Linked DNA regions of Caenorhabditis elegans. The protein of the gene in region 3 purifies or fractionates together with the protein of the main gene of each other region. This does not show direct contact. Each region holds a gene or a part of one and is shown on either strand. Other genes may lie near its edges.

What was found.
Region 1: the proteins of T10E9.6 (region 3) and wrt-6 fractionate together in Caenorhabditis elegans (co-fractionation; one large-scale study listed by BioGRID). This does not show direct contact.
Region 2: the proteins of T10E9.6 (region 3) and dbd-18 fractionate together in Caenorhabditis elegans (co-fractionation; one large-scale study listed by BioGRID). This does not show direct contact.

The regions. Positions count from the first base shown.
Region 1 is NC_003284.9:3,474,318-3,486,576, forward strand, and holds wrt-6 (Warthog protein 6 N-product), read left to right. Parts: upstream 1-5,932; 5' UTR 5,933-5,936; coding exon 5,937-6,072; intron 6,073-6,118; coding exon 6,119-6,192; intron 6,193-7,210; coding exon 7,211-7,470; intron 7,471-7,523; coding exon 7,524-7,579; intron 7,580-7,635; coding exon 7,636-7,843; intron 7,844-7,894; coding exon 7,895-7,995; intron 7,996-8,055; coding exon 8,056-8,102; intron 8,103-8,169; coding exon 8,170-8,427; intron 8,428-8,478; coding exon 8,479-8,768; intron 8,769-8,814; coding exon 8,815-9,166; 3' UTR 9,167-9,349; downstream 9,350-12,259. UniProt on the Caenorhabditis elegans protein: Intercellular signal essential for a variety of patterning events during development.
Region 2 is NC_003284.9:292,611-303,842, forward strand, and holds dbd-18 (DB domain-containing protein), read left to right. Parts: upstream 1-4,623; 5' UTR 4,624-4,637; coding exon 4,638-4,722; intron 4,723-5,232; coding exon 5,233-5,381; intron 5,382-5,565; coding exon 5,566-5,718; intron 5,719-5,830; coding exon 5,831-5,959; intron 5,960-6,432; coding exon 6,433-6,567; 3' UTR 6,568-6,677; downstream 6,678-11,232. Other genes in the region: gcp-2.1 (Glutamate carboxypeptidase 2 homolog), read left to right, coding at 9,241-9,271, 10,131-10,274, 11,046-11,232.
Region 3 is NC_003279.8:6,524,240-6,534,330, forward strand, and holds T10E9.6 (Receptor expression-enhancing protein), read right to left. Parts: upstream 5,861-10,091; 5' UTR 5,816-5,860; coding exon 5,696-5,815; intron 5,288-5,695; coding exon 4,979-5,287; 3' UTR 4,927-4,978; downstream 1-4,926. Other genes in the region: T10E9.4 (uncharacterized protein), read left to right, coding at 1,469-1,595, 1,985-2,131, 2,175-2,321, 2,369-2,605, 2,897-3,070, 3,122-3,619, 3,738-3,969, 4,012-4,399; nuo-2 (NADH dehydrogenase [ubiquinone] iron-sulfur protein 3, mitochondrial), read right to left, coding at 6,001-6,322, 6,958-7,148, 7,379-7,548, 7,598-7,721; T10E9.14 (K Homology domain-containing protein), read right to left, coding at 7,948-8,084, 8,126-8,248, 8,440-8,728; cpg-22 (DOMON domain-containing protein), read left to right, coding at 9,878-9,952.

The DNA.
Region 1 (12,259 bases), on a different chromosome or scaffold from region 3:
TAAGCAAATGTGGATCTTGTTTTTAAAAAAAGTTATGAAAAATAATGTTTGGAATTTTGAAATGAAACGAAAAAAAAAGAAAGAAAATGTTTGGTTCACAAGACCAAGTATATAATTCAATAAAGTGGACGAGGCTCGACTTTTTGGAGTACTAAAACCAGAATATTGCCCATTTCCGGGAGAAATACTAAAATTACGAAAATGACCTCTATATAGTTTTGAGCATAGCTTCAAGGCTCATAAAAATAGCAGAGAAAGCCCAGAAATCAAAGAAACTGCTTGCATGTATGTGTTTGTTTTATGTTTGAAATTTGTTTTATGTTCGAAATTAATAAAAAGTAATTTTTCGAAAACGTTTCTCAAGGTAAAACAACTGTTTTTTTAAGCATAACAATTTCTTTTTCAAAATTCCTCTTGGATTTTTTTTTAATTTCCAGTAGTTCAGAGCAATGTTTGAACTCCTAAAGTGTCTTAATACAAAAAATTCAAAAATAACTACAATGCAAAAACTAGTAGAAAATTTTGAGCGACTTCAGCATTTCCGACTGTAAATAGAAAACTTTTTTTGGAACGTTTCCCTAAGATTGTTAATTATTATAGCATTTTAATTTCTGATATTATGGAATACAGAAACTACGAAAATCGAAACAAAAGTTTCCGGAAATGAATTCTCAAGTTGTAAGCAGATCCACTTTGTAACAAATGTTGTCATTGAATACGAGAATGCTCAATGAGTCTTCTCCTTCCATGTGCCGAAATATATTTGCGTGCAGAAATAAGCAAATGACACAACAAAGCTTTGTTGCGGGCAAGAAGACTCCATACACATACAAATTTATAAGCTCTCTTGCTTTCTCCTTGCGAGTTTTGACAATTTTCTAATGTACCTGCGGAAAGAAAAATGTTTGATAGGAAAAAAAAATTAAAAATGTTGGTCGCAAGCTCAAACTCGAGCTTTTTCCGATTTCTGGTGATTGATGGATATTCAAAGGCCTTTTTTTGTTTGTTTTGATTAGCTGCGAGATCAGAGCTAACAAAAACCGGAAGTCGCCATTGTTTTACAAAGATATGCATACATAGATTGACAGGAATCTGAATAATTTTTGTTGATAAAAAAGTCATAAGGATAAAAATGTATTCACAATCTCTTCTTGAGGGCCTGAAAGTTACGCCAGTTTCTAGGTACTTTCTCACGGCAATTTGATAAAAATGTTATTGATGAGTAGGCTGCAAGCTAACAGGTTTTACTGGTCCTTACACATAGGTAAAAATCTGAAAATTTTTCATCGAACTCGATCAAAACAGTTTCAGATTAAAAAAAAACCAAAAAATTCCAAAAATCTCGTAGGTTATTTTCCAATGTGTAAAGAACTGTAAAACAATTAGAAACTTACTAATAACATTTTTGGTGCCATTCTGTGCACCTCCAAACTTGTGGAAAAATTCACTTAAAATATTTCAGACCGCGTTCTTTCAGAGGTTCAGAGGTTCAGAGTTGAGTTCCGCCGCTGAAATTTTTGTGGTGGCCTAGTCTAAACGTAAGCTTTCAAATTACATAGGCCTAGTGTTGAGGTCAGGGATTAAGTTGACATACTTTCCTTGTGAGTTGAAAAATTGATATTGTAAAAATAAATTTTGAACCGGCATTAACATTTTCTAAGATATAAGAATTTGGCTTGAAATTACGGGTCAGTTTGAGTAGACAAAGGTAGCAGAGAATTTAAGGTTGTTAGGCTGTCAAGACCTTTTTACTATAAAGCATTAGAATCAGTGGAAAAAGCAAAAGTGCACCTATGCTGTCTTGATTATTGAACTTTTTTTTGTTGATAAGTTCAGATTTAAGCTGATATACCCTGCGTTTTGTGTTCACACTTTTCAATTTCTCAGCCATATCAGAGTGCCTGAGAATGTCGACTGTTCCTTTGATACCTTCTCACGGCTAGTTCAAAGGAGACGTTATGAATGATGGAATTGGAATTTTTATTGGTGTCGTTTTAGATAGATCGATCCAAAAGATTACTACAGTCCCTTTTCTTGATGTGAGAAAAAGTATCTCTCGGTCGTCGTCTTTCCGTCAAAACTTTGAACACTCCCGACACCAATCAAATTCGATTCCGGTATATTCCTAACAAGGTGACGACGGAAAGCAGAAGCCGAGGCCAATTGAATGAAACATTCCACGTGACGGTTCCCTTTTATAATTGGACTCATTTGGAGAGCGGAAAACGGAAAACGGAAAATTTTCCAAGAATCAACACAGGATTGCCGAGAAAAACATCATTGACTAGTCAAAAACGGTGGACAATAAAATTGATGCCAGTTGTTTGTTGAGATTCTCGACACCAAAAACTAATAAAACGGCGCTTTATGGAGCTATTATTATCATATGATCTGAAGATGATTAAGCAAATCGTATTCATTCGATCAGGTACAAACATACCCGTTTGTTTCTTGTTTCTATCTAAAGTCTTGAAATCCGGATAAATTTTATTTTATATGCCGATGTTCCTCATTTTTTTTGCGTATGTTTTTTCTCGATTTATTGGGCTAGTGTTAAAGAATTTAGAAATTAAAAATATTCTTCTTTTCAAAATCCTAGAAACCTTCTTGAAAAATGAGGCAGAAACTAAGACGATCAAATACATCTCTTGTTGTTTCCAGTTGATTATTCGATTCTCTAATCAGCGTTTCTGCTTAGAAATTTCGTTTGATTCCATGATTGAATGAAGGAGAAGAGACATCAATTCAATGTTTCATACATCAAATATATCTTCAAAATTTCTTAAGCAAGAAAAATTGAGATGCATATCTGAATGAAAATTTTCTACATACATGTGTATGTACGTACATTCAGATGAAAAATCTGATATTGGCTATGTTAAATTTATATTATTTTTAGCATTCATTAAACAATATCAGAATTAATTATAATTTGGATTGAAAGTGATGAATATAAATTTTGGATTGACAATCTCGGCGAACGAAAAGATCGAAAGATTATCGTGTAGGTAGAATAAAAACCAGAATATCGTTCTTTTGTTCGTAGTCTGGTGATTAATGCCGTATCAGGAACTTTTGATCTCGATAAACTACTAGGACTGACCATTTGATCTGAATCAATTGTTATTCAAAAATCGAGATTGTCAGTTCTAAGAATTTCATATCCAATTCTGCTCCGGAGACTTTAGGTCGAAATTTTCAATTTCTTGAGGTAGATCTTGCTATTTGAAATTGTCATTGACAGTATACAATAATCTGAAAAGTTGAAACTCCGTTATATTCCAATTCTCTCATGACACCTGCACTAATCAGCGCGCATCTTTCCATTTTGCATCCTTGACGGAAAACAGTTCCGTTTGTCTTTTTCTACATTGCTTTTTCACATTCGGAGGTGCTAAGAAACGATTAGCAATGAAAGCGAAATGTATACACAGTAATTACGATAAAACTAATCCGACTGTCCGATTCTATGTGGCTACCTTAATTTTACTGCAAAGTCGAAATGTCAAAACATCGTTTTTTAAATACAAATTTCTTGTGATAGGGGTTTAATCTTGAAAGAATACTGTATACATAAACTGAGGGATGAGCATCAAACCAACCGTTCAGATCAAAAAGCATCTGTAATGGGTGATAAGCGTTCGGAGATTTTAAAAATTCTCTGATAAGAAGACATAAAAGTGTAGTGGGAAGACTTCCGCCAATCAAGTCTTCTAAGCCGATACATCTTGGTCGATAATTTCTGATCGCGATAAAAAAGATAGCAGCAACAGTGCTTCAAATCACCGCAAATTTACAAAGCCGTCCAAATCATTTGATGACGTTATCACACGGCGAGGGAGAACGAAAGATCATGTTCTGCATGAAGTTGGACCCAAAGCTTGTTCTTTGTCTTGTCGTGTTATTGAAGTTTTTTTGGCACTCCGATCGTTCTGGCAAATTTTTTCTGCAGTTCGAACTGGATCAGACAAGGAATCTCTGATACACTGTCGTAAATTTTGTACTGTGAAAACTGCAATTTATTGCTTAATTGGATTTAGCACAGAACTTTGGTACTGTCCAAAAAAAAATGCAGCTAGTTTCTTTAAACTGATATGTCAAGCATATTTGGGCACAGACAAACATCATAATCTTCGTAATGAATGTGTATTTCCACCATGCATTTTAAATATATTTTGAAGTAAATGCCATAAAAATGTATCTTTAAAGGGCTGAAACTTTATTTGCCGTAATTGTGTTTTAGACAATGTTAAAACTAAATAAATCAATTAATTTTCATCTATATTCCAATTAAGAAAGGTACTTTTAGTACTAGAGTTGGTTTTTCCAAAGCCTTGAATTAGAAAACATATTCCACACATTTGTATCTTTTTTAAATTAGCAAATTATTTTAAAAATGTGGGCATCAAGTACCAATATATATCTATTTGCCTATTTATTAAAAATCTAAAATTTTAAGTCATAAAAAATAAAAACGTCTGGAGTTTTTTGTATTCCCAGGTTTAAGAAATAATCATCACTTAGCTTAATGAAGTAAAATGCATATCATGTTTAAAGGAAATAAACAAATTGGCAAATGAATAAAATTTTAATTTGTTTCAAAATTGTGTGTGCCGTTCTAACATTTGTGTAAAGTTGGTTGAAGTTGAGGATAAAGTGCGCACTTAAAATTACTGAAAGTTAGCTAGGTTAAGATTGCTAAATTTTTTATTATTAAAAATAGCTAAAATTAAAAAAAAAAAAAAAAAAAAAAAAAAAGTTGCTAAATTAGGTTGGAAAGTTGCCAGAATTCGCGGAAAAGTTCGTGCATTTTAATTAACCACATTTCTTGTTTTAAATAGTTTACAAACCTGAGGAAAACTTCAAAAACTAATGCAACACTATTTTACGCTATTAGTGTTCTTTATTACTTCCTGTTGACACCTTAAGTTTCTTTTTATTTTACAGATATCAACTATAAAAAAATGATTCACAAATGATTTGTCTGGTGATATGAGCTGCCAAACAAAGAAATTAAAATTTTTAGCAATTTCAACTGTTGTAAAAACTTTGAATCACAAAAATCTTCCAAAAGGTACACAAAAGCGTATTGATATTTTTGCATTGTTCATTTATGTCTTGTAGAAAATATACACAGTTTTCAATATCTTGACCTACTCAACAAGGTACTTGACCAAGTCCGATTTGATTCAGTTTTTCGACAACCCTGATCTTGTTCTCCTTTTCCTTCAATCCCCCGCACATCGCCTACAATCGCAGTCACTTCAAATACAAAAATGATTTCGTTCTCGCTGTATATCCTCCATACCTTGTATCCACTCATCACGATGCTTCTTCAAAATTGACCGCAACTAAAGTATACACATACATAGAGAAATTATTTCGGACTTTGCGATTCCCAATGGAGAGGTGCAGATTCGCCCTCCCCTCCCCCCTCCTGAAGAAATCTTGGCGGGACGAAGAAGTGGGCGGGCGGATGCGGGAAGACAAGGCAATCTTCTGGACTAATTCATAAAAACGCGCTGAAATTAGTGGAAACCGGGAAAACGAGGAGGTGGGAGGTGCTTGTATCTTCCCAACGTATAAAAGTGACCAGAGCTGTAGTTTTGCCATGTTGGATGTTTTGGCAATTTTTCCACCTTGCATATCCCGACCTCATTCGCCCAGCCTCCTTTTCCTGCCCTCCGCTGGGTTTAACACCGTAATCCAACAATTACACGGTGTCGTCGGATTTCTTCATTCAACTCTATTCATTGTCTTTTTCTTTTTCTTCTTCTTGTTCCAAACTATCCAGTTCTCTTCGTTTCACTTTTTTTGAAAATTGTCTTCCAAATTTTATTGCTCAAGCTAAAAATATTCTGACTTTTAAAATCCTTGTATTATTAACGTTCCAATAAGAACAAAAATATATATATGTATGCTGTTCTGTTTCCAGAATGACATTACTCAACTTGTTTTATTGTTTCTGCCTACTATTTGGAGCAGTTTTGGCGGATTCCATTCATGATGGTGGATCTTGTGGTACGAATTCAATTCCTTACAAAATGGAAGTAGACAGCGAAGGAAAACCAGGTATTTACTAATTTTCCAGAGCATCTCAAAAAATTATCCATTTCAGTTATATCATGTGAAGCGCCATCCTGCCTTGGAGTTTCAAGCTCTGCAGCAAGACGCCCAAGAGTTTTGGATGTGGTGAGAGATACTTGAAAGACCTAGGCGCCTAGCAGTAAAATTATTAAGAAATCGATTATTTAGAGAAACTCTTTCGGGGACATAATCCTTGGACTGTAAGTGGCTCTATAATTTTGTGCGATTAAGAAAAATAGAGCGGCCATTAAAAAAAAGTCAATTTCGTAGAAATTAACAGATGGAAAAGCTAAACCATTCAAAAAAAAATTCAATAAGGACGCAATTCTAATTTAAAAAAAACTATAATCTAAACTAAAATTGGAAAACTATGGTTTTTGCTTTCTGAACATTTCAAACCCAATTTAAAAAATCTATTTGAAGTAACGCCGAACTCATTACAAAAATAGAAGCCTTGAAGAAATCGCAGAGAAAAAAGCTAAAACATATGAAGAATATTAAAATTATTCTGTAAGAAGAAACATTTTGAAAACGTAGTTAGAGCTAATACTTTCATAGAAGAGAAAACATAGACAACTGTTTCAGAAAAAAAACATCGAAATTTCAGTTTTTTTGGGTCTCAATACATTGATGAATTGCATCCTACAAAATTTTTTGCAAAGCTTCTTGCTATTGGTTCAATATCTTATCCATACCGTACCTATATATTTGTCACCATCTCCGATTTTTCTCACATCATCGCTTTATCTTAGATCAGTGCGCCCGTTGATTATACATCCCGAATGTGTCTTGTTTGAATGTAAGGATGTTTCTTTCACCCATTAAGCTTTACGATCTTTGAGACTTATCCAATTAAAGTGGCTAACTGAATCTTCGCCCGATTCGTCTCGGCCGAAGCCTATTCATCTTTTTTGATGTTCCTATTTTAATTGTGACGACGTCAAGCGTACCAAACAAGCTACGTATGCAAGCCAATTAATTGCGATGCGAGATTAGAAGTACATGAAACACTATGACCGGAATCGTTCCTCCGGATGAGTCGTCGTTGACCGAAAAAACTTTTGGCGGGCGTAGTATAATAAAACTTGATTGAATGATGTATAGCATTGGAATATTTTTCCAGAGTTGCGACCCTTTCAAGGAGATTGTCTGCGTCAAAGACCTGCAATGGACTTCTGGGCTTGTGGAAATCAATAACGGAACACATAGAACATTGAAAACCGAGTGTTGTTCGTACGAAGGAATGTCTGATGCGAAAACAATCAAGAGCATCTTCCTTGGACCAGGACAATCGTTTGTAGGAGGAATGGTGGAAAAGGATGGAGAGCAATCAGGATTCGATCTTATCAAGGAGATTAGGAAGACTGTCAACGCAGATAATCAGTAAGAGAAATTTAAATGATCGGGTATTTTTGGAACAAAGTTTCTTATTTCAGAGTTCAATATATTGTTGGTGTCTACCGCATGCCTTGTGAAGCCACCTCCGATTCAAGTAAATTTTTTGAAATTTTGAAATATTTTTGCAATTTTAAGCTTCACTGTTTTCAGGCGAGGAAGCTCTTCCATTGCTTTCAAGAAACAGAAGAAAGCTTCGTGATAGAGTTGGAAAATACGATGATTATGAGGAAGACAGAAACTATCGCTCTGAGAGAAGACGTCCGTTTGCAATGAGAAGACGTGCCCTCCTTCAAAGACTCGAAGATATGTATGATGATTACGATTACGAATTCCGAGTTGTGAGACGACCATTCAGAAAGTAAATTTTATCCGGCATTTTTATTTAAGCCGAAAAATTTTCCAATTTAAGAAGCCGCCTTCCATACAACGAGAATGCTCTTTGGCCACTGCAATACTCCTCGCCACAACGTTCCCGCACATTTGCCGACAACACGTACAACAAAGAAACAGGTTTGTTAACGACAATGCAAGACGGAACTGCCGCTCTTTCTAACTATGGTGATTCTTCAGTAGAATCCGGGCCGCTTCCTCCACCACCGAGCTCCAACTACATTGACGTGAGTTTAGACTAACCCATACATCTAATGTCAACTAATTCTACTAGTACTAACTTTCTAGTCGCAGAATGTTGCCCCAGCTTCGCCTGTCGTTCAATCGCCAGCCTACCCACAGACTCCAGCAGAAATGCCTCTGCCACCTCAATCAGGTTCATATTCTGGATCGTATAGTGGTTATCCAACTGCTGATGCAAGTCAATACAATGCGTACCCTGCAATGCAGCAACCAGCATATCAACCGGCCTACCAACCGGCCTATCAACCAGCCTACCAGCCAGCCTACCAACCAGCATATCAACCAGCATACAGTGCAAGAGGATACTCGGTATTTTAATTAACAATTTTAATTCATTTTAAAAATAACGTCATTCTTCAGCCGAATTTGAATGGGCTGTTCGGTGGAACTGGCATGCAGTGTTTTTCCGGAGATATGGAGGTAGAGACAGAAGACGGAATCAAGATGATCAAGGATCTCAAGATTGGCGACAAGGTTCTCAGCATGGACGAGGCTTTTGTGACGTATTCGCCCGTTATCATGTTTTTACACAAACGGGATGAAGAGATCGCGGAATTCAATCTCATAGAAACAGCCAATGGTCACTCAATTAAACTGACCGATAATCATTTGATCTACGTGTCTGACTGCCGTACTAGATCCGACTTAAAGTAAGAAATTAATGATTTAACAACAAGTAAACTAATAATTATCCAGATTGGTCGCCGCGAAAGAAGTCAAAATGGATGATTGCATTCACGTCACCACAGACAGCAATGTCGTCATCAAGAAAAAGGTATCCAAAATCAGCAAGGTCATCGAAACTGGAATCTACTCTCCACTTACTTCCACCGGAGATATTATTGTCAACCGAGTTCTGGCTTCTTGTCATTCCAACTTGGCGTTGAAGTCACTTCAACAAACTTTCTTCTCACTCTACAAACGTACTTCAAGTGTTTTCCATAATTTGATGTTCTTCAAATCCTCCACAGAAGAGGGAGATCTTCCAGTTGGAGTCGAAACTTTAACAAGTGTCATGGACTTGTTTATTCCTCAATCATTTGTATGATTACTAATCAGTTAATATGTATAAGTTTATAATAATTGTACGTTGTTTAATAATGTTTTTCTTGCTTATGCTTTTTATGCAATGATGTTAAAATATGCGGTTGAATTGTGCATTTGGTTGCAGCTGCTTTCTTTCACTGTCGCCTTGCCATGTTGTAAAATAAACATAACTTATTGAGTACAAACACTTTATGTTTCCTTATTTTGCTTTCCATTTTCAGAGCCTACAAAAAATAAGGTACCGTACTTCCTCTATTAGTCTTGCACCACTACGGGTTAATCGAAAATTTTTCTTGTCTTGCAGCTTCTAATAGTCTTGCATCAATCTTTTTGCTGTAAGCAATACTTTATTTAAACTTCAGAAAACTTGTCATTTTTTGGACAAATGAAACTTAAAAGTGTTCAAATTGATGATGAAATATTGAAGAAGTATGTACATATTTTTCCTTGTTTAAACTATATCTAGTTAAGTTTTCAAGAAAAATTGGTAACTGGTAACAATTGGTAAGAATTGGTAACAATTATTGAGCTTTCAAAAATTAGTCTTACAGTCGTAAAAAAACATACGATACATGTTCAAAGATGATATCTCGTGTGTCTTTTTGGGAAGCATTAAAAGGATTGTCGAACTAGACACTTAAATATTTTTGAAATATTATGTGAAATTCATTAAAGTAGTAATTATAAATTAAACGTATAGTTGCGCCAGTGAGGACTTTGTTAAAAATCATGTATAGGGTGCCAAAATGGCCAAAGGTTATAGTAAACCTTTTTTATAAAACTTTTACTGGCAGTCAAATGAGCTTCTGCAAATTTTTGTGAATGCTATAGCACTGTCGCATGTTTGAATTCCCACAATGTTAGAATATTACTACTTGAAAAATCAATAGATCATAACATTCGGAAAAGACTTCTTTTTTGAACGGCGACTTCCAGAAAGTTGCAAAACTTGAGATTTGTCTATTAAAACAAATCATAGGTGTGAAGTTTGTTTCCTATTTTTAATATGGTGCCATAGGAATGTTTTAAATCCAAATTTATCAACTAACTTTTTTTCATCTTCAATTTCTGGATTGCTACGCGGACCAGGGAGCAAAAAATTACAGAAGTTAGTACTTTTTGGTATAAACGACTATACTGAATAATTTTTGGAAGAAAAAAGTGGAGCTTCCTATTAATTTCCCGGGTTTTTGAAATTTGGGAAAAATAGCTTTTGATCAATTATACGTGCACTGACCGAAAAATAATAAAACGTGCTTTGACCATAGAAAAATAAACCATTTGCACTGACCAAAAAAAAAATAAAAATTGCACTGACAAAGAAAAAGAAAACAAGTGCACTGACCAAAAAAATGAACCATTTGCACTGACGAAAAAAGATGAAGCGTGTACTGACAAAAAATAAAACAAGTGCACTGACCAAAGAAAAAAACACGTGCACTGACCAAAGAAAAAACACGTGCATTGATCATTGAAAACATTTGCACTGACCAAAAAAATGAACCATTTGCACTGACGAAAAAAGATGAAGCGTGCACTGACAAAAAATAAAACAAGTGCACTGACCAACGAAAAAACACGTGCATTGATTATTGAAAACATTTGCACTGACCAAAAAAATATGAAGCATGCTCTGGCAAAGAAAAAGAAAACAAGTGCACTGACCATAGCAAAAAACACGTGCACTGACCAATGAAAAAAACACGGGCATTGGGATCATTGAAAAATAAAACATTTGCACTGACCAAAAAATGATGAAGCGTGCACTGACAAAAAAAAATAAAACTTGCACTGACCAAAGAAAAATAAAAAATTTTCATTGACCAAAAAAGATGAAGCGTGCACTGGCAAAGAAAAAGAAAACAAGTGCGCCCTGACCATAGAAAAATAAAACATTTTCACTGATTAAAAAAAAGATGAAACGCGCACTGACCAAAAAAAAATTAAATGTGCACTGACCAAAGAAAAATAAAACATGTGTACTGACCATAGAAAAATAAAACATTTGCACTGACCAAAAAAAAAGAAACTTGCACTGACAAAGAAAAAGAAAACACGTGCACTGACCATAGAAAAATAAAACATTTGCACTGACCAAAAAAAGATGAAACGCGCACTGACCACAAAAATTAAATGCGCACTGACCAAAGAAAAATGAAACATGTGCACTGACCATAGAAAAATAAAACATTTGCACTGACCAAAAAAAACGCGCACAGACCACAAAAAATTAAATGCGCACTGACCAAAGAAAAATAAAACATGTGCACTGACCATAGAAAAATAAAACATTTGCACTGACCAAAAAAAACGCGCACAGACCACAATAAAATTAAATGTGCACTGACCAAAGGAAGATTCAGTTTAACTGGACTTTTTCAGATTCCGTATCCGTGGGGATAATTTCTTTTTTATTCTAGAACTTTTTTCTAGAATTATTCTGATATAACCGAATAAATGTGTCATGACAAGTTTATAAAATGTGTGAATTTAGATGAAGACTTTTTATAAAATTAACAATTCCTGAGAAATTATCAAAACATTTTTAAAAAATGTCTTTTTTTCTATAATCTTGGTGTTTGCGAAACACATGGTACTTTGAAAGTGCGTATTGCCAACCGAAGTTATTCGAAACAATTGTTTCATGTAAAATCCACGTTTTCGTAACATGTACACGATATATGTAATTCGAGTCGGTTTTCAGTGTTTGAAAAGAACTGACCGAGTGTTACAAAACATGTCTTCTCGTTTTTGTGTCAGACGACATAGAGAATGAGATATATATTCAGGACACCCCATATCATTTACCTTTGCCGCGACCCTGTTTTAGTGCAAACTCTCTTTTTCCTCTCTTTCTTGCTCTTTCTTGCTTGTCTTTAATGTTGACCTTTTGTCATTTGGTCCCAATTTTGATCTTTTTGAAAAAAGATGAATGAATCCAGACATTTTTCTTTGCGATTTGATTTTTTGTTTTGTTTTTCGATTAGGTTTCTCCTGGAAAAAACATATCAGAAGGTCCCATTGATAACATTGTGACGTATTATGTTTTGCAATTTTTTTCTTCGAAATAAACATCGGATACTTTGGGTTTTGT
Region 2 (11,232 bases), on a different chromosome or scaffold from region 3:
ATAATTTCCAAGTTTTTGATGATTTGTTGCATATTGAAAAAAACATTTTTCGGGTTTTTTGAAATGAATATCGTAGCTACAGAAACGGTAGTACACTCTTCTTCTGAAAATACAAAAAATTTGCAATTTTTATAGCTAGGACACTTTTTGTCTGCCCAAATATAAGCAACCAAAAATAATTTCCAAGTTTTTGATGATTTGTTGCATATTGAAAAAAACATTTTTCGGGTTTTTTGAAATGAATATCGTAGCTACAGAAACGGTAGTACACTCTTCTGAAAATACAAAAAATTTGCAATTTTTATAGCTAGGACACTTTTTGTCTGCCCAAATATAAGCAACCAAAAATAATTTCCAAGTTTTTGATGATTTGTTGCATATTGAAAAAAACATTTTTCGGGTTTTTTGAAATGAGTATCGTAGCTACAGAAACGGTAGTACACTCTTCTTCTGAAAATACAAAAAATTTGCAATTTTTATAGCTAGGACACTTTTTGTCTGCCCAAATTTAAGCAACCAAAAATAATTTCCAAGTTTTTGATGATTTGTTGCATATTGAAAAAAACATTTTTCGGGTTTTTTGAAATGAATATCGTAGCTACAGAAACGGTAGTACACTCTTCTGAAAATACAAAAAATTTGCAATTTTTATAGCTAGGACACTTTTTGTCTGCCCAAATTTAAGCAACCAAAAATAATTTCCAAGTTTTTGATGATTTGTTGCATATTGAAAAAAACATTTTTCGGGTTTTTTGAAATGAATATCGTAGCTACAGAAACGGTAGTACACTCTTCTGAAAATACAAAAAATTTGCAATTTTTTTAGCTAGGACACTTTTTGTCTGCCCAAATATAAGCAACCAAAAATAATTTCCAAGTTTTTGATGATTTGTTGCATATTGAAAAAAACATTTTTCGGGTTTTTTGAAATGAGTATCGTAGCTACAGAAACGGTAGTACACTCTTCTGAAAATACAAAAAATTTGCAATTTTTATAGCTAGGACACTTTTTGTCTGCCCAAATTTAAGCAACCAAAAATAATTTCCAAATTTTTGATGATTTGTTGCATATTGAAAAAAACATTTTTCGGGTTTTTTGAAATGAATATCGTAGCTACAGAAACGGTAGTACACTCTTCTGAAAATACAAAAAATTTGCAATTTTTATAGCTAGGACACTTTTTGTCTGCCCAAATTTAAGCAACCAAAAATAATTTCCAAGTTTTTGATGATTTGTTGCATATTGAAAAAAACATTTTTCGGGTTTTTTGAAATGAGTATCGTAGCTACAGAAACGGTAGTACACTCTTCTGAAAATACAAAAAATTTGCAATTTTTATAGCTAGGACACTTTTTGTCTGCCCAAATATAAGCAACCAAAAATAATTTCCAAGTTTTTGATGATTTGTTGCATATTGAAAAAAACATTTTTCGGGTTTTTTGAAATGAATATCGTAGCTACAGAAACGGTAGTACACTCTTCTTCTGAAAATACAAAAAATTTGCAATTTTTATAGCTAGGACACTTTTTGTCTGCCCAAATATAAGCAACCAAAAATAATTTCCAAGTTTTTGATGATTTGTTGCATATTGAAAAAAACATTTTTCGGGTTTTTTGAAATGAATATCGTAGCTACAGAAACGGTAGTACACTCTTCTTAAAATACAAAAAATTTGCAATTTTTATAGCTAGGACACTTTTTGTCTGCCCAAATATAAGCAACCAAAAATAATTTCCAAGTTTTTGATGATTTGTTGCATATTGAAAAAAACATTTTTCGGGTTTTTTGAAATGAATATCGTAGCTACAGAAACGGTAGTACACTCTTCTGAAAATACAAAAAATTTGCAATTTTTATAGCTAGGACACTTTTTGTCTGCCCAAATATAAGCAACCAAAAATAATTTCCAAGTTTTTGATGATTTGTTGCATATTGAAAAAAACATTTTTCGGGTTTTTTGAAATGAATATCGTAGCTACAGAAACGGTAGTACACTCTTCTTCTGAAAATACAAAAAATTTGCAATTTTTATAGCTAGGACACTTTTTGTCTGCCCAAATATAAGCAACCAAAAATAATTTCCAAGTTTTTGATGATTTGTTGCATATTGAAAAAAACATTTTTCGGGTTTTTTGAAATGAATATCGTAGCTACAGAAACGGTAGTACACTCTTCTGAAAATACAAAAAAGTTGCAAATTTTATAGCTAGGACACTTTTTGTCTGCCCAAATATAAGCAACCAAAAATAATTTCCAAGTTTTTGATGATTTGTTGCATATTGAAAAAAACATTTTTCGGGTTTTTTGAAATGAATATCGTAGCTACAGAAACGGTAGTACACTCTTCTTCTGAAAATACAAAAAATTTGCAATTTTTATAGCTAGGACACTTTTTGTCTGCCCAAATATAAGCAACCAAAAATAATTTCCAAGTTTTTGATGATTTGTTGCATATTGAAAAAAACATTTTTCGGGTTTTTTGAAATGAATATCGTAGCTACAGAAACGGTAGTACACTCTTCTTCTGAAAATACAAAAAATTTGCAATTTTTATAGCTAGGACACTTTTTGTCTGCCCAAATATAAGCAACCAAAAATAATTTCCAAGTTTTTAATGATTTGTTGCATATTGAAAAAAACATTTTTCGGGTTTTTTGAAATGAATATCGTAGCTACAGAAACGGATACAGAAACGAAACGAAAACCATATCAATTCCCCCAAAAATCCAAAAATTTTTTTTGCAAAAAAGTGCAGTCATATGCTTGTTGAAATTGGAATTCAAGACAAAAACCCCTGTAGCGCGGCTGGGATGGAATATCTAGGTTCCAGAAATGTACCCCTGATATTAAAAAAAATTAGCAATTTTTTACCATATCAATTCCCCAAAAAATCCAAATTTTTTTTTTGCAAAAAAGTGCAGTCATATGCCTGTTGAAATTGGAATTCAAAAATTAGGTCCTCGGTGACTGCGACAAAAATGTTTGTTTGTTTTTTCTGGGCGTGTTTTTTTTCCTTTTTTTTTTGGGATGAAAAAATTCGCAAAAAATTTTCCTCCCGTACAATCGACAATTCATTCAAACCAATTAGTTTTGAACTCTCCTGTGAATGCTACAAAAAACTATATTTATTCTTCATTTGGCTTCTCACTAGTTCTCGCGATTCTCTTTGATCGAGAAATGTAATTTGTTGCTTGGAACAGAAAAGTGGAAAAGGGTAATACATGGCCTCTTTTCCTGTGTCTTTTTCCGCCGATTTCGTGAACATTAATTTACCCGCAACCGTTTGATGCGCCGTTTGCCCTAATTTTCCGTTTCTTGACTGTTACTCAATGAACAGATTGAATTCTCTCTCTCTCTCTCTTTCTTTTTTCACTTCTTAATTATTGTTTGCTATCCAACACCTACTTTTGTTTTTGTATTTGATGTTCTTTATTCTTGTTACTTTAAATTTGAAAAAAAAACGAATTTTTAAAAAATAGGGTTTGTCAATTTGTACAAGGAAACGGAATTTTTTCGTTCAAAGTTTCAAAACAAGACGTATGCCCATCAGATTATTTTGTTTAAACGAGCTTACGCAAAACACTTTTAGCTGTAAAGCTCCTACTTCAAAAATTTTAATTTCAACTTGAAAAAAGTTCAGCACATTTTCCCCAACTACCGAAATCTGAAAAATTGCGCCAAAAGTCGTTTCTTATACATTTGAAGTTTTCAGAACGTTTTAAATTGGCAAACATTCGGGAACTGTATTGATGGTGCTTATTATCCTCAAAGTTGGACTAGTGCCAGCGGGGAAATTGTTTTAAAACATGCCTATGGTACCCCAATGACCAAATATCATAGTAAAAAAAATTTTTTTTTAATTTTTGCTAAATTTTTATATGATTTTTTGAAAGTTGAAAAAATCTCGAATTGCATCAAATTCCCACTTGAATTGCCGCCAATAGTTCGATGTTCAATGGAGTGCGCTTGCCATATTTTTATCAATTTTTCTCATTTATGTCTGAATTTTAATTTTTTTTTTCGTGTAATTTTAGTGAAAATTTAGTGAAAAATTCAAGATAAATGTAAATTCTTTATCAAAAAGAGGACAGTGAAGCGTAAACCTGTGCAATTGATTGTTTCAGGCTCGACGTCGTTGGAATACGTTCTTTCTTTGTTTTTCAATTGTTTTCAATGCACAATATACATTTGTGTTGAATTTTTCACTAAATTTCTACTTAGATTACACGAAAAACATCAAAAATCTGTCAAAAATGAGAAAAATTTATTTAAAAAAATGTATATTTCAAGCACACTCCATCGAACATTGAACTATTGGCGGTAATTCAAATGGGAATTTGATGTAATTCGGGTTTTTTTCAACTTTCAAAAAATCATATAAAATTTAGACTAATTTTTTAAATTTTTTTTACTATGATATTTGGTCATTGTGTTACCATAGGCATGCCTTAAAGTAATTTTCCCACTGGCGCTACTCCACCTTTAAGCCCAGATTCTCTGAAAAATTAGAACATTTTTTGACTAAATCATTTTGAATGGTCAAAAGATGTAAATTTCAAACATTTTTTATAACCTATTTTCAAGATTATTTTTCAATTGACACAACTTGTAAATCTTGCAGCTCTTGGTATCAGAATGCGTCTTCTATCGTCTTCATTGCTTGTCTTGTTTCTTACTCAGTTTGTATCGTCCGAAAAAAAATGTCCGGCTGTGAAAAAAGGTAACCTGAACGAAGTAAACGTTTAGGTATAAAATTGATTGCGCAAAAATCTCTTAAAATCAATTGTTGTAAAAACAAAATCATGAAAATTGACTAGTGAGTTTTTATCGCTTTTTGACTTGAAATAAAACATTTTCAAAAATCGTTTGAAACGTTTTATTAGTCATTTTAGCAACATTGAAATAGGTTTTGAAAATGTACCAAATGTCGTGCTTAACCTTTACAATAACTCAAAATTAAGGCCCGTTCACTCAAGTTCCCATAATATATCTGGAATGGAAAAAAATACAACATTTCTTAGTGAGTCTACAACAGGGCTAGCAAATTGGACGAATTGGGTATAAAACGCGTCCCGTTGTCCGGTTTTAACCCGATTCGCCATATTCTACACATATATATATATATATATATATATATATATATATATATATATATATATATATATATATATATATATATATCAGCTTTGCTCTATGTTAATACATGCGTACAAAAAACATTGGTTTTCAGGGGCTTGCTGCACAGCACCTATCACCCCAGGATGTCGACTTCCCCGACAATGTTATAAATACATAATGTCAAACTGTCCAGACAGAAAAATTGCAGTTTTTTCCAGAAAAGTTGGAAATGATCGCCGCTCTGCTCCGAGAAAACCGTTGGTCAGTTTTATTTTGTACTGATATAATTGTTTGAGCCCAAGCTAATTATCTTAAGCTCGAGCATTTGGGCTCGAGCTCTAGCATCTCGGCAGCAGCATTTGGGCTCCTAATATTTCAGCTCTGAGGTTAAAAAAATACATGATTTCCATTAGTACTGTTCCAAAACAATTGTTTGATAATTAAGGGCAAATGTGGAACATCGGAGGTAAACTATCAACCATGCACTTCCAAGGGAATTGCGAACAAACTCTTTTTGTCGTGCTGTCAATTGTATGTTCCAGAAGAATGCCATCACATGTGTGTGTACGAAACTGATCAGTCGGTTACTAGAAATATGGTAAGTGTCCAAAGTAAATTCAAAATAGTAAGTTGCCTAACGTTATAAATGACAATAAAACAATTGTGTTGTGAGTACCTCTTTTATATTTCCAAAAACAAACTTTTTGCAGCTGACCAACATGCGGAAAGATAGCCAGTGCCGAATTAAACACCTGTCGTCAATTTTGTACTGTGCCAGCCAGAACAGAGATAATAGGAAATGCTGCTTGGATTTAGATCTCAATGCCCCTCAACTTCAGGTATATAAATAACTTGGAAGATTTTTTTGGAAAGAGTTTTCTATGGTGTGTAATTAATTGGTTATATCTCAAAAACCGGTAAAATATACATGTAAGGTTGTATATGCGCTTCTCAAAACACTGTTTTGCCTCACTGGTTCAGGTTATTAAGAAAACTGCTCCTATGAAAACTTCTCAGTCTCAAGTTACAGATGTTCCAAAAAGAATTGACAAAAATGAGCTCGCAAGGTGTCGGGCGTTGTATCTCTTGACTTTAATGTTTTGAAACGTTGAAACATGTGTGTTAAGATGTAGATCACATATTGGGCAACAGTTAATCAGTTCAACTTTTCTTTCAAAATTTCCTAACTTGAGGTATACTCATTTGAAAACTATGGCAAATTAGCGCGGCGCGGAACCCAGATAGTGTTGGCTGCGTGGGGCGCCGTATCATGGAAACCCGTTTATGTCAACTAATGATAATAAAAACTTAGGTTGGATCTCGTTGCTTGCGAATGTGTGATCCATCGGGTACTTCAATCGATAGAATAACCAAGGAAGATGTGACTTGCCTGTATAATTGGAATGTTATTATGTACTGTCATCATGCCGGAATACGCGAAATGTAACTCAACCACTTCATTTATTTATCTTTTTTAAGTTCACCCTTCAGCATACCAAAGGTTACATTTTTGCAGCAGTGCACTTATAATGTTGATAATAATAAAATATTAATTGGAATATGATGTTTGTTATCTTATCAGGCAATAGTCGACATTGATAAAAATTGGAAGATTGCTTTCAAATTGATTTTTTTTTCCAATTATTTTACTTTTTGAAACATTTCATTTTACAATTCTATTGTTCCTTGAGAAAAAAACGTCATAAGTTTTGATTTTTTGCAATGCGTTCAGTTATTTTCTGAACGAAACGTATTTCATTTGAAAGGACTTCTTCTCAATAGTCCACTACAAATAATTTTTATGCATATTCAGGTCAAATGTTTATTTTATGAAGTTTCATAGACATGGAGACATTTTTATATCTTTCAAGACAGCCTTTCAAAAAATTAGTGAAATTGTTTAATCAAGTCCATTAAAAATGTTAAATAAGTAAAATGTTTGTCGAATTTTTTGAATGTTTTTTTTGAGTTACTGGAGAATGAATCAAATGATTTAAAGTGGTCGTTTTTTACAGTAAAAAAGTATTATATTTTGAATGACTAATGTATTTATTTGATAATATAATTTCTTTCAGTAAGATACTTTATGTGTCCTATGCCTTTCCACTTCTAAAGCCAGAAGTGAACTGATTGGAAATTTTTTTTTAAGTTTCAATTTTGTACCCAACCGTAGAGTTCGTATATACGAGCATTCTCATTAATTTGCCAGTGTTTCAAAACAAAAATTCCAAGAAAAAAAAACTCTATAATTGCCTCATTTCTTCTGTTAGTCTGGCTGCTTGAATTTTGAATTATAAATGTTGACTCAGGACTTATTGCCAGCCCTAATTAAAAAGAGTATTTTTTCTATTAGCATGGTATTTGTATTGCACACATTTTTTACACAATTCCTATGAGATTGAAGTTATTAAGCCTTTTTGTTACAATTAAAATAAAATTGTCGAACTTCCATATAAAGTTTAAGTCTTTTCAAGTAAAAAAATAGTAAGTCCAAACACAGAAAAATGTTCTGAAAATTCCCTAATAACGGAATGACCTTTGAAAATTAGTATTGTAGCCATACTAACAAAAGAAATACGGCAATAATATCATTATAAAATATTGTAGTATAGCTATAACGCAAATACCAAACCTTCATCAGTGTGTGTAATAGAAAGAACAAGTGTCCTACTCAAACATACCAATAAACATACAACAATAAGGTGGGCCCAGGGAGCGCACGTATCATATCCTCTTTTTCTACACATACACCAGATGATGGAGCATCATCAGACAACTGACTTCAATTCGATGACACTCTGGATTATATGTATCAAGAGGGGGAAACAATTGAGGGGAGGGGGCAGATGAAAGAATCGTCGCTTGTGATTCTCAATTCAATTTTCATTTTTCTGTGTCTGTTTACAATATTAGTAGAGAAAAGCATTTGATATATGAACTAATGTTTTGGGGTTTGTATCATAGTTTTTTAATCACAAAACTGAAAACTTTATTTTTATATATTGTTCATGCAAAAATGTTAGCATTTCCGGTTCATGATGTTTTCTATCAATTTTTGTTGTGATTACATTTGCAAAATTATTTATTTAATCTTAAAGGTGGAGTAGTGCCAGTGGGAATTTTGTCTAAATACACTTATTTTGATCAAAAACGATCGAATACCATAATATAACGTTCCAAAAATTTTTTTTAGTGTTTTCATAATTTCTGGGCGAAGTTTTGGCAAATTGCCATAATTTTGAAAAATAAGAGCTTTTGAGGAAATCCAAAGAAATTACGCTTATTCCGAGCCCTATGTACAATGTTTCAATACAAATAATTAAAACAAAATTGCACTATAAAAAATAAAGGAAAATTTTTTTTTTGGTCGACTTTCAAAATGAGTGGCAAAAACGAAGTAATTGTCACTTTTTGACAGTTGATAAAAAATGTTCAAAAACCTTTTGAAAAGTTTTATTGTGATCTTTGGTCATTTTGGGACCAAATGAGTGGTTTATAACAATTTCCCCACTTGCGCTACTCCACCTTTAAAACACCAAAAAGTGTTAGGCTGTTCTATATAATTTGTGCCCAAAAAATATGACATCAGCATGTTCTTAACAATGAAAAATCTGTTGAGAACTCTGAGTCTCTTCTCCTGCATTTTTTCAATAGATCTACGTAGATCAAACCGAAATTTTTTTCGTGCATTTTTTTCAGTCTTAGAAGGGATAGTTTACTTGGCCTAAGAATACAAAAAATCCACAATTTTGTTTCTATAATCGAAGAAGTATTGTTTTAAAATGCATGTATGTGATACAAATGAATTAAATTTTAAACAAAATTGAAAAATTACTGTTTTGAAACCTGCAAATCTTATCTGGCCTAAATCAATGTTGACAGTCCGTTTACAATGAGTTTCATTTTTGTTGCTCAGATATCAAATACACAATTACACGTAAACTTTTGAAAAGTGTATTCATAGTTTCAAAGTTTTCGTTTTTTCTTCGTCCAGTCATTTCTTACAGTAATTTTTGATTAAGTTCTTAACTGTAACTGTAATTAATTCAACTCCACTTTTAAATAATCTCGCAACATTTGTTTGAAATGTTGTTGTTCCAGAACAATAGTTTATATGTAAATGCCGTACGTCGGAGTTGGAGCACAAACAGGTAATTGTGTCATTTTTTGTTTGTGTGCATTTTTGACTATGGTTTGAGGTGACCCTAACAGCTGTTCAGTTGTTCTTTTTGCAAGGCATTTATTTCAAAGCCAGCATCTCCCTTTTCATGATACTTTTTCTTTTAAAAATTTTGAATCACACAAATTTTTTTTAATGGGGTAGCGCCAGTTTTTCTTCCTTTTTCCAATAAAAATACACAAATAATAAAGAAATTCAGTAAAATAATGAGAAAAATAAAATAAATTAATGAAAATACTGCAAGTGCGCTCCACCGAACGAATTCAGTTGGCGGAAATTCAAATGTAAAATCTAGAAAATTTTTTTGAATTTTTTTATCATGATATTCGGTCATTGTGACCCCATGGGCGTGTTTTAAAGCAATTTCCCCATTGGGCGCACTCCACCTTTAATGTTTTTCTAAGCCTAAAAATGCGATTCAACTCCACGTGTCGATTAAACTGTTATATTTTCATAAAACTAAATGGAAAACAAATGGGAAAATATTTCTGGAGCAGGTATACTACACAAATAGGTATTTTCGAGTTATTCAATTATGTCTTTGTTTTGTAAAATGTATCATGTACTCGCAAATGTTTTATCACCTTTCCAATTTTTTTACTGAAAGTACTAGCCGACATCAGAAGAATTTGATTTTTACCGATACCTAATCATGGGATTAGGTCAATTATTTTTCCACATTGACTAAAAAATATTGACGGAGATGCTATTGCAAGATACATATGTATGTTAGTTTTCTTCTCACCATACAGTTTCTTTACTAACTGTGATTTTTATCTTTATTTGCAATTTCTGGTTGAATGCAGTTTCCAAGACAAATTTAATTTCAGTTTCCACAAGCTTAACAGGAGCGCCTATGGTGAAGGCATACATTGCAATTGCTGCCTCTTTGATTTTTGTTTTTTGTATTGCTGCGTTGGGTGTTCATCACTCGGAAAGAAAGTTCAACAAATTCAATAAAGTTTCAATTGATGGTTAGTTTTGATTTTGAAGAAATGCAGATACCTTTTCTTTCCTATTAGTATTGCATGTGAATCTATTTTTTATTTGGTCATTTTGCGTGCAAGTCTAATAGCGACTGCCATTCTAATAGTGAGTACAATTATATTTTTGATCAATTAGATTTATTGATTTTCAGATGTAATTTGAACGAAAAACATTCAATTTGCATTAAATCACCATAAACTCTCTATGACATCAAAATATGTATTTCATTACAGTTTGTGACGTCTAAAATGTATCCCAATACATTTAGCGACATTTCTTGAATAACCCCATAACAAAATACACCAGAGATATGAACATCAAAAAAAAAAATTTCTAACCGGAATAATCAAAGAGAGTGCATATTAATAATTCTATCGTTTACACTCAAAATAGTAAAACTGCGTTGCGTGTACACAGAAAACCCAAATTAAATGGAAAATCACTGAGAAAAAGCAAAAATCGGGACCCCAACCAATATCATGCCGCTGACATCTGACGAGTTCTGCGCGCCGCTGCGTTTAACTTGCAGCGTGCGGAGACCGCTAGCCACGCCCACAGTGATAAACATATGTAGCAGTGAGCGAAACCCGTGAGATGGCGACAACCTGATATCAATTGAGGTCCCAATTTTTGCTTTTTCTCCGTGATTTTCCAAAAAAAAAAAGGCGTGGCTTTTGGGTTATTCGTGCACGCCACGGTTGAAATAACTGAAAATTAATGAAAAGCAAGAATACTAATTTGATAAATGCTATTTTCAGACATTCATAAATCTGATGCAGGAGTTATTCAAGACAACATAAAAACGGAAAACATCAAAAAGTACCTCCGAATATTCACAAAAGATCCACATGTAGCTGGAACAGAAGCTAACAAAAAAGTCGCTTACGAAATTGCAAATGCGTGGTCGGAAGCAGGATTGGAAGATGTTCACACATTACCGTATGA
Region 3 (10,091 bases):
TTTTATGGATCGTAATGCCGAAAAACTCCTGAATTTGATATTTACCATTTTTCAAAGTTGACAGTCTCGGCACATCCTGCAAAATACTATCTGAAAATGGTGGAGCTCACATGAGAAGGATTGTTGCTAAGTTAGATACCCACTCGGCAGAAGTTCGCAACTCTTTGCCCAAGGTCTGTCCGCTTATATTTAACCAATACAAAGAGCTGGCAGACCTTGGCCAAGGAGTTGTTAAACTTTGGACAAAGAGCGGACGCCCTGTGGTTTTCAGTGTAAAAATACTAACTTGGACAAAAAGTGGGTTGACCTTGGACAAGACGTGGCGGGCTTCTGCCGAGAGTGTCCAAGGTTTGCCCACTTTTTGTCCAAGTTAGCATTTTTTCACTGAAAACCACTGGGCGCCCGCTCTTTGTCCAAAGTTTAGCAACTCCTTGGCCAAGGTCTGCCAGCTCTTTGCTTGGTTAAATATAAGCGTGCAGACCTTGGACAAAGAGATGCGAACTTCTGCCGAGCAGGGTGGTGTGCTTTCCTAAATTTTCCCGAATGAAAAATATCTTCAAAGAGCTTTTGTCCAACTCGCCATGTTTTGGTTGATTCAAATTTGATTGAACCGTGACCTCTGAGGTCAGTGTTCTTTTTCACAAGTCAACAATATCAGGAAAAAGACAAAAATATTTAGCATTTATAGAAATTTTTGAAAATTTAAAAGTTCGTCTTCAAAACGTGACACCCTAGCCTATGATGGCCCAGAGATACCATTGCCACGTGTCACTTGGTATAAAACGAGAAGAATTGGACGAAAAACAATCATTTTGAAGCAAACTTTGGCAAAGCCTCTCGTCAAGTTTCCAACAACAATCGTTTGCGGTTCGTCATCCGAGGATCGTTCAGTGAGTTTGCTGATCATATGTGGGACTACTACGGCAGGGATTCCACGCAGTGCTGTGCGGCAACCGAACGTTTAGCAATTTGCCGATTGCCGTAAATTATGAAAATCGGCAATTGCTGGAGAGGCTGATTTCCAGAACCAGGATAGCGGAAATTGAGGCTGCAAGATTTGCAACCTTAAAAGCGGAATAGCATATTTGTCAATTTTGCAAATTGCCGAAAATGCCTAGAAAATCGGCATAATTCTGGCAAGTGGCCAAGTTGCTCATTGCCAAAATAGTTGTGTATGTCACCTTGTGATCAGGCGCACTTGCCTGCTAACTGCCTGCGTTATATAGTTTGTTGCGTTTTGCGGTACATATTTCTTGACTATTTCTTCATATTATTATTTTTCTGGAAATTTAGTAATAGGAGGACGCATTGAACGCAAACAGACCTGTCTGACTTGTCTTTGTTCCAAACGCTTCGGGTTTCCGAACATCAGTAGCTTATCAGTAGCCAACGCTCATTTTCACTTTAGCTAAACTCGAATTCCAAATTCACACTGTCATGACACTTTTTTCCAGTTTCCACGTGCAAGATGACGTTTCGTTTAACGTGTCTTCTCATCTTCTTGATAGTCTCCGCATCCGCAGTAGACTCTACTTCTACGGCCGAACTAACAACGGAAACAGCACCAGTAACTGCGCCAACAGGTCCAAACTTTAGTGAGTAAAAATAGGCAGTTGGCTATTCTCATCGTGCTTAAAAGTATTTGATCAAATTACATGTCAAACGTTACAAGACCCAAGAATTTTTGACATACTCAGCGATTTTTTACTTTAAATCTTAAAATTGTTTAATTTTCCGTTAGTTTTGTATCTAATATTAGTTTGAAATGTGCTGTAGGAATCAGAATGTGTTCAAATTTGATGAATTAATTTAGGCACTTTATTACGGTTTTTATAACATTGTATCAGGCATTTAAGATTTTTTATGAGCATTTAGGATATTTGGTTTATTTTCAGTCTTTTCATTTGTTCTCAGCATTTTTAAGACAGTAATTACAAAACTTTAAACTAGTTGATCTCGAAAAAACTTTCTTACATTTTTTTAGAATGCCCGTCTGGAGACGACATAAACGATGATGGTTGCAATAACAGAAAACAAGGAGTTTCGGATGGTACGGAATTGTGTGCTGCTGAAAATATTTGTTACCGAGATATGATGAAAAACTCCGGAGTATCGACTTCTGCTTGTTGCGGTGAGAATTACTTTGTATATTCAGTTGTATGTTCTTGTTTAAGGTAGGCTAGGTGATTTTTGCCCAAGTACTCGATTGTTCTCATACCATTCTGGTGGACAAACCGGGTTTTTGTACAAATATACCGGAGAGGCGGACGATCCGCGTTGGTACAAACGAGATTATCCACTATCCGGAGATGTTGCTTGTCGTAAGTGTAACACATTGTTTCGAAGTTTAAGGCAAATTCCGTTTCAGCGATTCCATTCTCTTTCACACTGAAAAATTCCAATGTTGTTCCACTGACATGGGCAGAGGAAGGATTAGAGAAGTCTAAAGCAAATAACCAATCATATAAAGTTAAAACGTGCACTACCAACAGTGAATGTGGAGATGGAAACTTCTGTGATTCAGTTTATAACCCAACTTTCAAGAATCATAGATTTTTGGATAGAAGTGGTCCAAAAGAATCATCCTTGCAATTCTGTTACAAACGTAGGTTCAATAGATATTTTTCGAAAGTAGCAAATTGATTCGTATCTCTTTTCTTTATATCTGAAGCTTTAAATTTATCTTACGATGCTTCCGTTTTTACCCCAGAAAGTTTCAAATCATTATCTGATTGTTTTACCGAAAATTACAGAATTATTGATTTGATTACAGCTCATTTGGGTCTTTGCTTTCAAAAACAAAAATTTCGTTAACTGACTTTTGATAAAACCAAAAAACTGATTATCAGAGTAAATAGGAGTGCAAGACTTGTCTTAAATTAAAATGTTATTTCAGAACCAGACCTCAAGCCAGATTTGAAGCATGTTAAGGTTGATTTGGGGCTGAAGCTGTGCCATTACAACGAAGACTGTGGCAATGAGACTGAAATTTGTCACATAGACAATATCACTGTGTATGCCAATGTTACGCAGCCGGAAAAAATAGCCGTTCCAGGAATATGCGTTCACGGTACGAGATATCTGATGTTCTTAGAACTCTAACAATTTGTTTTCTTTTCAGTTGATGTTTGCAGCGAGGCTGATGATGAAAAGACACATGCAGTTCTTCCAGTCAATTCACAGTTTTGCAAAGAGGACATGCACTGTCAGAATGCCGGAGTATCCGCCAATCAAACTGAGTACAGTCATCATTGCCGATCGTATTCTGATCCAAACAATAAAGTATGCTGCTTCAAAAAGAAACCAAAATGCAAACATGGAACAGCAGAAACTCAATCTCCAGTTGCTAACCTCATGCAGTGCAAAAAGTACGAGGATTGCGCTGGAGATCTGAAGTCGGATAAGAAGAGATTGGAATTGTGGTGTGACGAAAAAGTGAATGTATGCTGTAAAGATATAGGATCCACTGTCACGAAAGACAAGCACGGAACTTGTTTGGACTATGCAACACCATTGTATAATGAGCCAAAGTGTGTAGATGTTGTTGAAGGAAAGGAAAGTTCTGGAGTGTGCAAGACGAAGGGCGGAGTCTGTCGCTTTGGTCATTGCTGCCCATCACGTAAGCATTCAAATTAAGATTTTTATTCGATAAAAAGGAGAAGAGTTTTAGATTCCCCAGGTTTCACTTTTCTTTTCTAGTGTAGCGGATTTTTTTAGGACGATTTGAAATTTTTCAGTTACCCTGACAATTGCACCATCTGGAAATGGTACTGAGTCAGCGACGCCTACCTTGGGCCCATATCCATACTTGACTAATTATCCGTGTGATGCTAACAAACCTATCCCATCTCAATTCAGCACCTATGCATTTTGCGATCCTGACACTAATCGCGTTGGTATTTTGGGCAAAAGGCACTTAACTGGAGAAGAACGTACTGAGGTGAAGGGATCGGCATGCTCTTCTAACAAGTGAGTTTAAGGTTTATTTGGTGTTTAATGGGACATTTTCAGAGACTGCAAGTCGGGAACTGTTTGCGTGTATGTTAATATCAATAAACACGTCTGCTACTACCATCCGCTGAAGAAAATCGCCCGTGATGTCAGTCAACCATGGCTCTATGTGCTCATTAGCTTCCTCATTTGCGGTTTTATTTTTGTCATTTTGGCAGTCATGAGCTTCGTCTGCTACCGTTCGAAGTCTGTGTTTGACAAGTACAAGCCAAAGAAGAAGGGAGGAAAAAAGGGAAAAGACAGTGATGGAAAGAAAGGAAAGAAAGGTGGAAAGAAGGGAGACGATACTTCAAAGTCAAAGAGCTCCAAGTCAAAGACCAAGAAGACAGAGGCTGATTCGACAAGCGGAACTACTGGTGAAGGAGCCACCAGCTCTCAGATGAACTAGATATTTCCTTTTTATGCATCGAACATTTGGGAATAAACTTGTGTATTTATGTTTCACTTTTTATATTTGAAATTGGTTTTAATAGCAGTTAATACAAGCCATGTACGAATGTACGATTACTGTGATTACCTTTTGAGTAGACGATTTCTGATGATCAGAAAAACAATTGATACATAAATTTCCTTTATTGATAACTATGGTATAAAAGAATTTCCTAAACTCATCCCTAACACTAATTAGGCAAAATTATATTAACCAAAACTTCCATTTTTTTCAAACAAAAAAAAATCTATTTGTGATTTTTAAATGTTTTTAATCAGTGTCTGGAATGGTATGGATTGTTAAAGTTAAAGCTATTCACATTCATAAAAACTGTTCTATTTTCAGCCACAAAAATTAAATTATCCCAGTAATAATTTTCGCCCTGAGCTTGGCAGCTGAAGCCATTTCAAAATATGGGCTATCAAATGTCATAGGTCTCCATGTACAAGTCATGACGTATTTTAAACAAAAGGAAAAGTGGAAAAATCTTCTCATAATATAACATAATATCATAAAATATCAATCACTCATTAATTTCTATTGAATATTGAAGACTTTCTTATGAATCAATTCGATAGTTGGGTTAGATGGTGGCAAGAAAAGTCCAATGAATACGGCAAGTTTGATGATATAATACAATGGAATATACTCCAAGATTCGATCGAAAAGATAAAAAAATCCGAAAATTGTCCAATAAATGAACATTATTCCTGTTTCAGGTCTATCCGATGGTCCCAAGTATGTCAAAATAATGGGAGCAATTACGAGTAGTCCGTTTGCCAAGTAGTGAGGCTCTTTGAGCACAAGCAACAATCCAAGAAGAAAGAGAATTGTTCCTTTGATCAACTGAAATTCAGATTTTATCTTTTTTTTTAAGTTGACAAAAAAACTACTGTGCGCAATGGTGTAAGCCTTGCCGGTAAATGTCACACATGTCACACACACAATGTCACAAATCACACATGTTGAAGCAGGAATACGGTAGCCGGTCTCGACACGATCGAGAAAGGCGCCAAACGATGTGCGCCTTTGAGATACAGTACTCATAACTGTTTCGAGAGTTGTTATTGATTTTTCTCTTTCTGAGACCCTTTTACTTTGTAAACTTCAATTAACTGAATCAAATAAATTGAAAATTCACAGACAGGAAACAAATCGAATATAACATTGAGTATACAGTACTCTTTAAAGGCGCACTGTTTTTTATTCGTGTCGAGACCGAGTACTGTATTTTTGTATTCGCCGGATAATTACCGATTCAACTTCGATTCCAGTGACTTCACTATATCTTTTGGCCCATCTCGCCGTGAAATATTTCTCATTGTGAATGAGATTGATGAACCAAACTTGAACTTCCAGCTCTGACTTGCTCATATTGGAATGATTTTCCAAGAGACGACGAATAGAACAATCAATAATAAAACTAATTGGGAGAAAATAGTAATTGATTCACGTAAAATTTTAATGTTTATATTTTCAAAAAAATCCACACTAACAGAAAATGAGTCTATTTATCAGAAGAAGAAGTAAAATTAAAACAAAAATCGGAATCATTTTATCTACTTGTTCTGTGGAGTAGCTGGTGTTGGCTCAGCAACTTCAAGGATCGTTTCGTATCCACTGGTGATCGACTGATTACGGAAGGCTGGGAATGTCTCCCATGGAGTGTTCAAATCGAATTTACGGAATTCTTGAGCCAATTCAGATGGTTCATAGACGACACGCTTCAGCTCTGGATCGTAGCGGACCTCGTTGTATCCCGAAAGTGGATAATCCTTGCGGAATGGGTGACCCTCGAAACCGTAATCAGTGAGAATTCTTCGAAGATCTGGGTGATTGTTGAACCATACTCCATACATATCGTACACTTCACGCTCAAACCTGAAAAAAATTAGAATAAATATATGGTGACTTGGCCGATTTGAGAGGTGAAATCTTTTGAGAAAGTTGCCATAATTTAGGAAACGACTATAATTTGTCAGAAAATAATTAAGTCATAAATGTTCATCAGTTTCTGTTAGTAATCTTGATTTTTTGGATATTTTTCAGTTTATTACAATAAAAAGAAAAAAGTGGTTTTCAAACGAGTTCTGTCTCATTCGACACATCATGTTTATGCAAGATTATTACGAAAATTTTTTTGGCTGTTTTTTGCAGACTTTTAATGATTTCACATGTTTTTTGTCGGGGTGGGTAACTTTAAGTTTGTTTCAAAATTTTTTAAAAATCTGCAGAAATTCGAAAGTCTACTTTTAAATGATTATAATTCTTAAAAGTCTACAAAACCGTCTTTGGAGAAACAACGGATCCGGGAGCAATCAAAAAATGCATTGGAATAATTTCAGATCGAACTTTTCAGGTTGAAATAGTTTGTTCAATTTTTTTTATATCTTTTCATAGTAATTGTGATTTGGTATTATCCATCTTTGATATTAATTTCACTTCTGTTACAATAGTTAAAATAAACTAATTCTTTCAAAAACTTAAATTACATTTAATTAATTAAAAGTTCTTACCAGTCAGCACCCTTGAAAACTGGAGTGGCAGAATCGATTGGAGCAATTTCATCAGTGTATGTACGAACACGAACTCTGGCGTTGAATCGAACAGAGTAAAGCGAATAAATAACTTCAAGACGATTCTTGCGAGTTGGAACATCCATTCCGGTGATGAAGGTTAAGTTGGTGAATTGAGCAGAATGATTTCCCTGGAAATTTAGATTTTTTGTTGATAAATCAAGCATTAAACCAAGAAAAAACGGTTTTTGTGCATTTTTTCTCAATTTTAATAAAACGAAGTATAATTTAAAAAAACTGTAAAACCGACAATAGTTTCCAGATAAAAAATGGTTATGTACTACTATTGCAGCTGAAAGTCAAAGTGTTACTTTTATTTCAAATTTTTGTGTGTGATTATAATTAAAGATTTAATACTTACTTTAAGGAAGGAAAGAACTGGAACAACTCCTGATGGATGAATCAAGAGCTCTAACTCGTCTCCGGCTGCAAATTGCACTTTTTGCACAAACTTTGGCAGGCACTCGGCTGCATACTTTCCAAAATTAGCCAACCGTTCACGTTTGTGTTCGTCGATTTTCCAGATAGTTGCTGAACATTTTTTGTTAAATTTTGTGTAAAATGCAATTGAAAATTTTACGTTTTTTTGGAGATTCTTTCTTATCGCCAGTCTGGTTGGTCTGGGCAACAGCAGCGGTGGTGGAAATTGGCGAATTTCGGACAATTTGCCGGGAAACTGCCTGACGGATCACACTACCCAACATTTTCTGCAAGACAAGACATATATTATTATTTTAAAGTTTTTATTGAATTTAAATGCGATTTGAGGCAAAAAATGGTAAAATAAAAAATAAAATCAGAGAAAATGTGTTTGATCGGCCGGCCGCACATGAAACGCGCAAGTATTCGGGAAATGCGCCAACATAATTTGCTAGCGCATTTCCCTTGCAAGAGAAGTAAGAAAAATGAAAATATTAAACAGAAAAATAATTAATCGAGGGATTCCATAAGAGATTCAGCGAATTGGCGTGTGCGAGGATCTTCATATAGAGTTTTTTGTCCTTTCGAAGTTAATCTATCGTAGATTAAGCGCAATCCGATGAGAATTTGTTGATAGTTTCCTGAAACTGCAAAATATGAAATCAACTAATTTAATCAAATATTCAACCTGTGACTGATACAACAACTCTTCCATCTGTTTCTCCATTATCTCTATTCTCGTTGTTTCGCTCGAAATGAACATCAACATTAGAACTCAGTTTAATTTCGTTGATTTTGGCGCCGTTCTTGCCTGGAAAAAATGAAAGCAATAATTAAGAACTTCTTTCTGACCTGCTAAAAGGGCCAGTTACTGCGAAGGAAAACAAAAGAACAAAGACATGTGTGCATAATGAAGTGCGAAAAACATATTTCACCATTCAGTAACCTGTTCTTGGGTTTGTACCTCTTCCTGCTTTTTACTTTCTTTTTACTAACACTCACCAATGAGGAATCCAATGTCTTTGGACGGCATTTCGAATTTATAACGTTGATTTTTATTTCTGATAGTCGAGACCAGTTCCAGCACATCATTCAGAGCAGATTTCAGATTCCAATACGGACCAGTAATACGAACATTTGAATTTTCTTCGTCATTCTTCCAAATATCCAATGCAACTTTGTTATATTTTTCAATTTTGTAGATGTTGCTTCCTTCGGGCCCAATGAACTGACCGAGAAGTGACGAGTCGAGGAATCGATGGATTGGATAATTTAAAATTTCGCTGTCCATTTTTTCCTTTCTATAATTAGAAATACCGAGAAGCTGAATAAAATTCGAATGGCACGACAATTTCAAAAAAAAAATTGTTGATACGGTATGCAACAAGGCACGCAGCGGTGTTTGCGGACTGAACTTCTTAGAAACGAGGCAATTCGAAATTTTATAATTGGAGACTCAACACCTTCTAATAGATGGCAGAAAAATGGGTATTGAAGAATATATTACCCAGATGCGAAATGTTGCGATTTTTGCTCCAAAAATACGGTACCCGGTCTCGACATGACCCATATTTGTGAAATGCAAACTTGCGGATTAATTGTAATTTCGAACTTTCAGCGGGATATCATCTAATTTCTGTAGTTTGTTTATTTTTAGGAAATGGTGAGAAAATGTTTTAGAAAAATATTTTAAAATCGACGAAAGTGGCAGCAACGAGAGTTTAAAGTTACAGTACTCTTTAAAGGCGCACACCAGTTTGCATTTAACAAAAATGTGTCGTGTCGAGATTTTTTTGGCGCAAGAATAGCAAAAATTTGTGTCTGAGTAATAAAACACATAAATCGCAAACTGCGTTCTTCAGCAACAATATTTTATGGAATTTTTTCGGCATTATTTAGGATTTTAGGCAACCAGCTTCGTCAATTTCGGATGAACAGTGTACCGCAAAAAACACAATTTTGAACATGTCTATTTCCAAAAAAAAAGACCAAGCTAAAGTATTCGAACTCGGAAATTTGAAACATATTTAGTTATTAAAATAAGTTGATCATCATAAAATTATGTAATCTTATGTTAGAAACTGCTGTAATGTTTTCTTTTTTCTGTCTAACTTTACACATCTACCTTCTTTCCGTCATCATCAAAAAAAAACATCCTCAATCTGTTTGTAACACTATATAAAAAAAACGGACTCAGCTGTAATTCACCTCTTAGATATCAAGATATCCCTTGAAACACCTCCAGTCAATTCTCTTCTCCCAGGAAAAAAACATCTTTAAGGCCATAGATGCGCGAAAGGACAAAAAACAAGTGTCACTAGAGACGCAGCATTATAGACATAAAAAAGTTGAGTAGGCGGAGTCTATCGGAGGAAAAAGAAAGGTTTTGGCAAACAGTTTGGCACCCAGAGGTTGTGTCCTTTCAATCGAGAAGACAACCATGCTTCTTGTGCCAATTATTCTACTATTTCTGGAGGTTACAACAACGCATCAGAGAAGTATTACTCAGAATACTGTAAGAATTTTCTAAATTTACTTCATAAAAATTGTATTTCTTGTCATGTAACCGGGAGATAGATCCTCATAAAACATGAAATTTTCGACCATAGCTCTCGAAAATATTTTCGAGCTATAACTATTTTCACCTTTGCCAC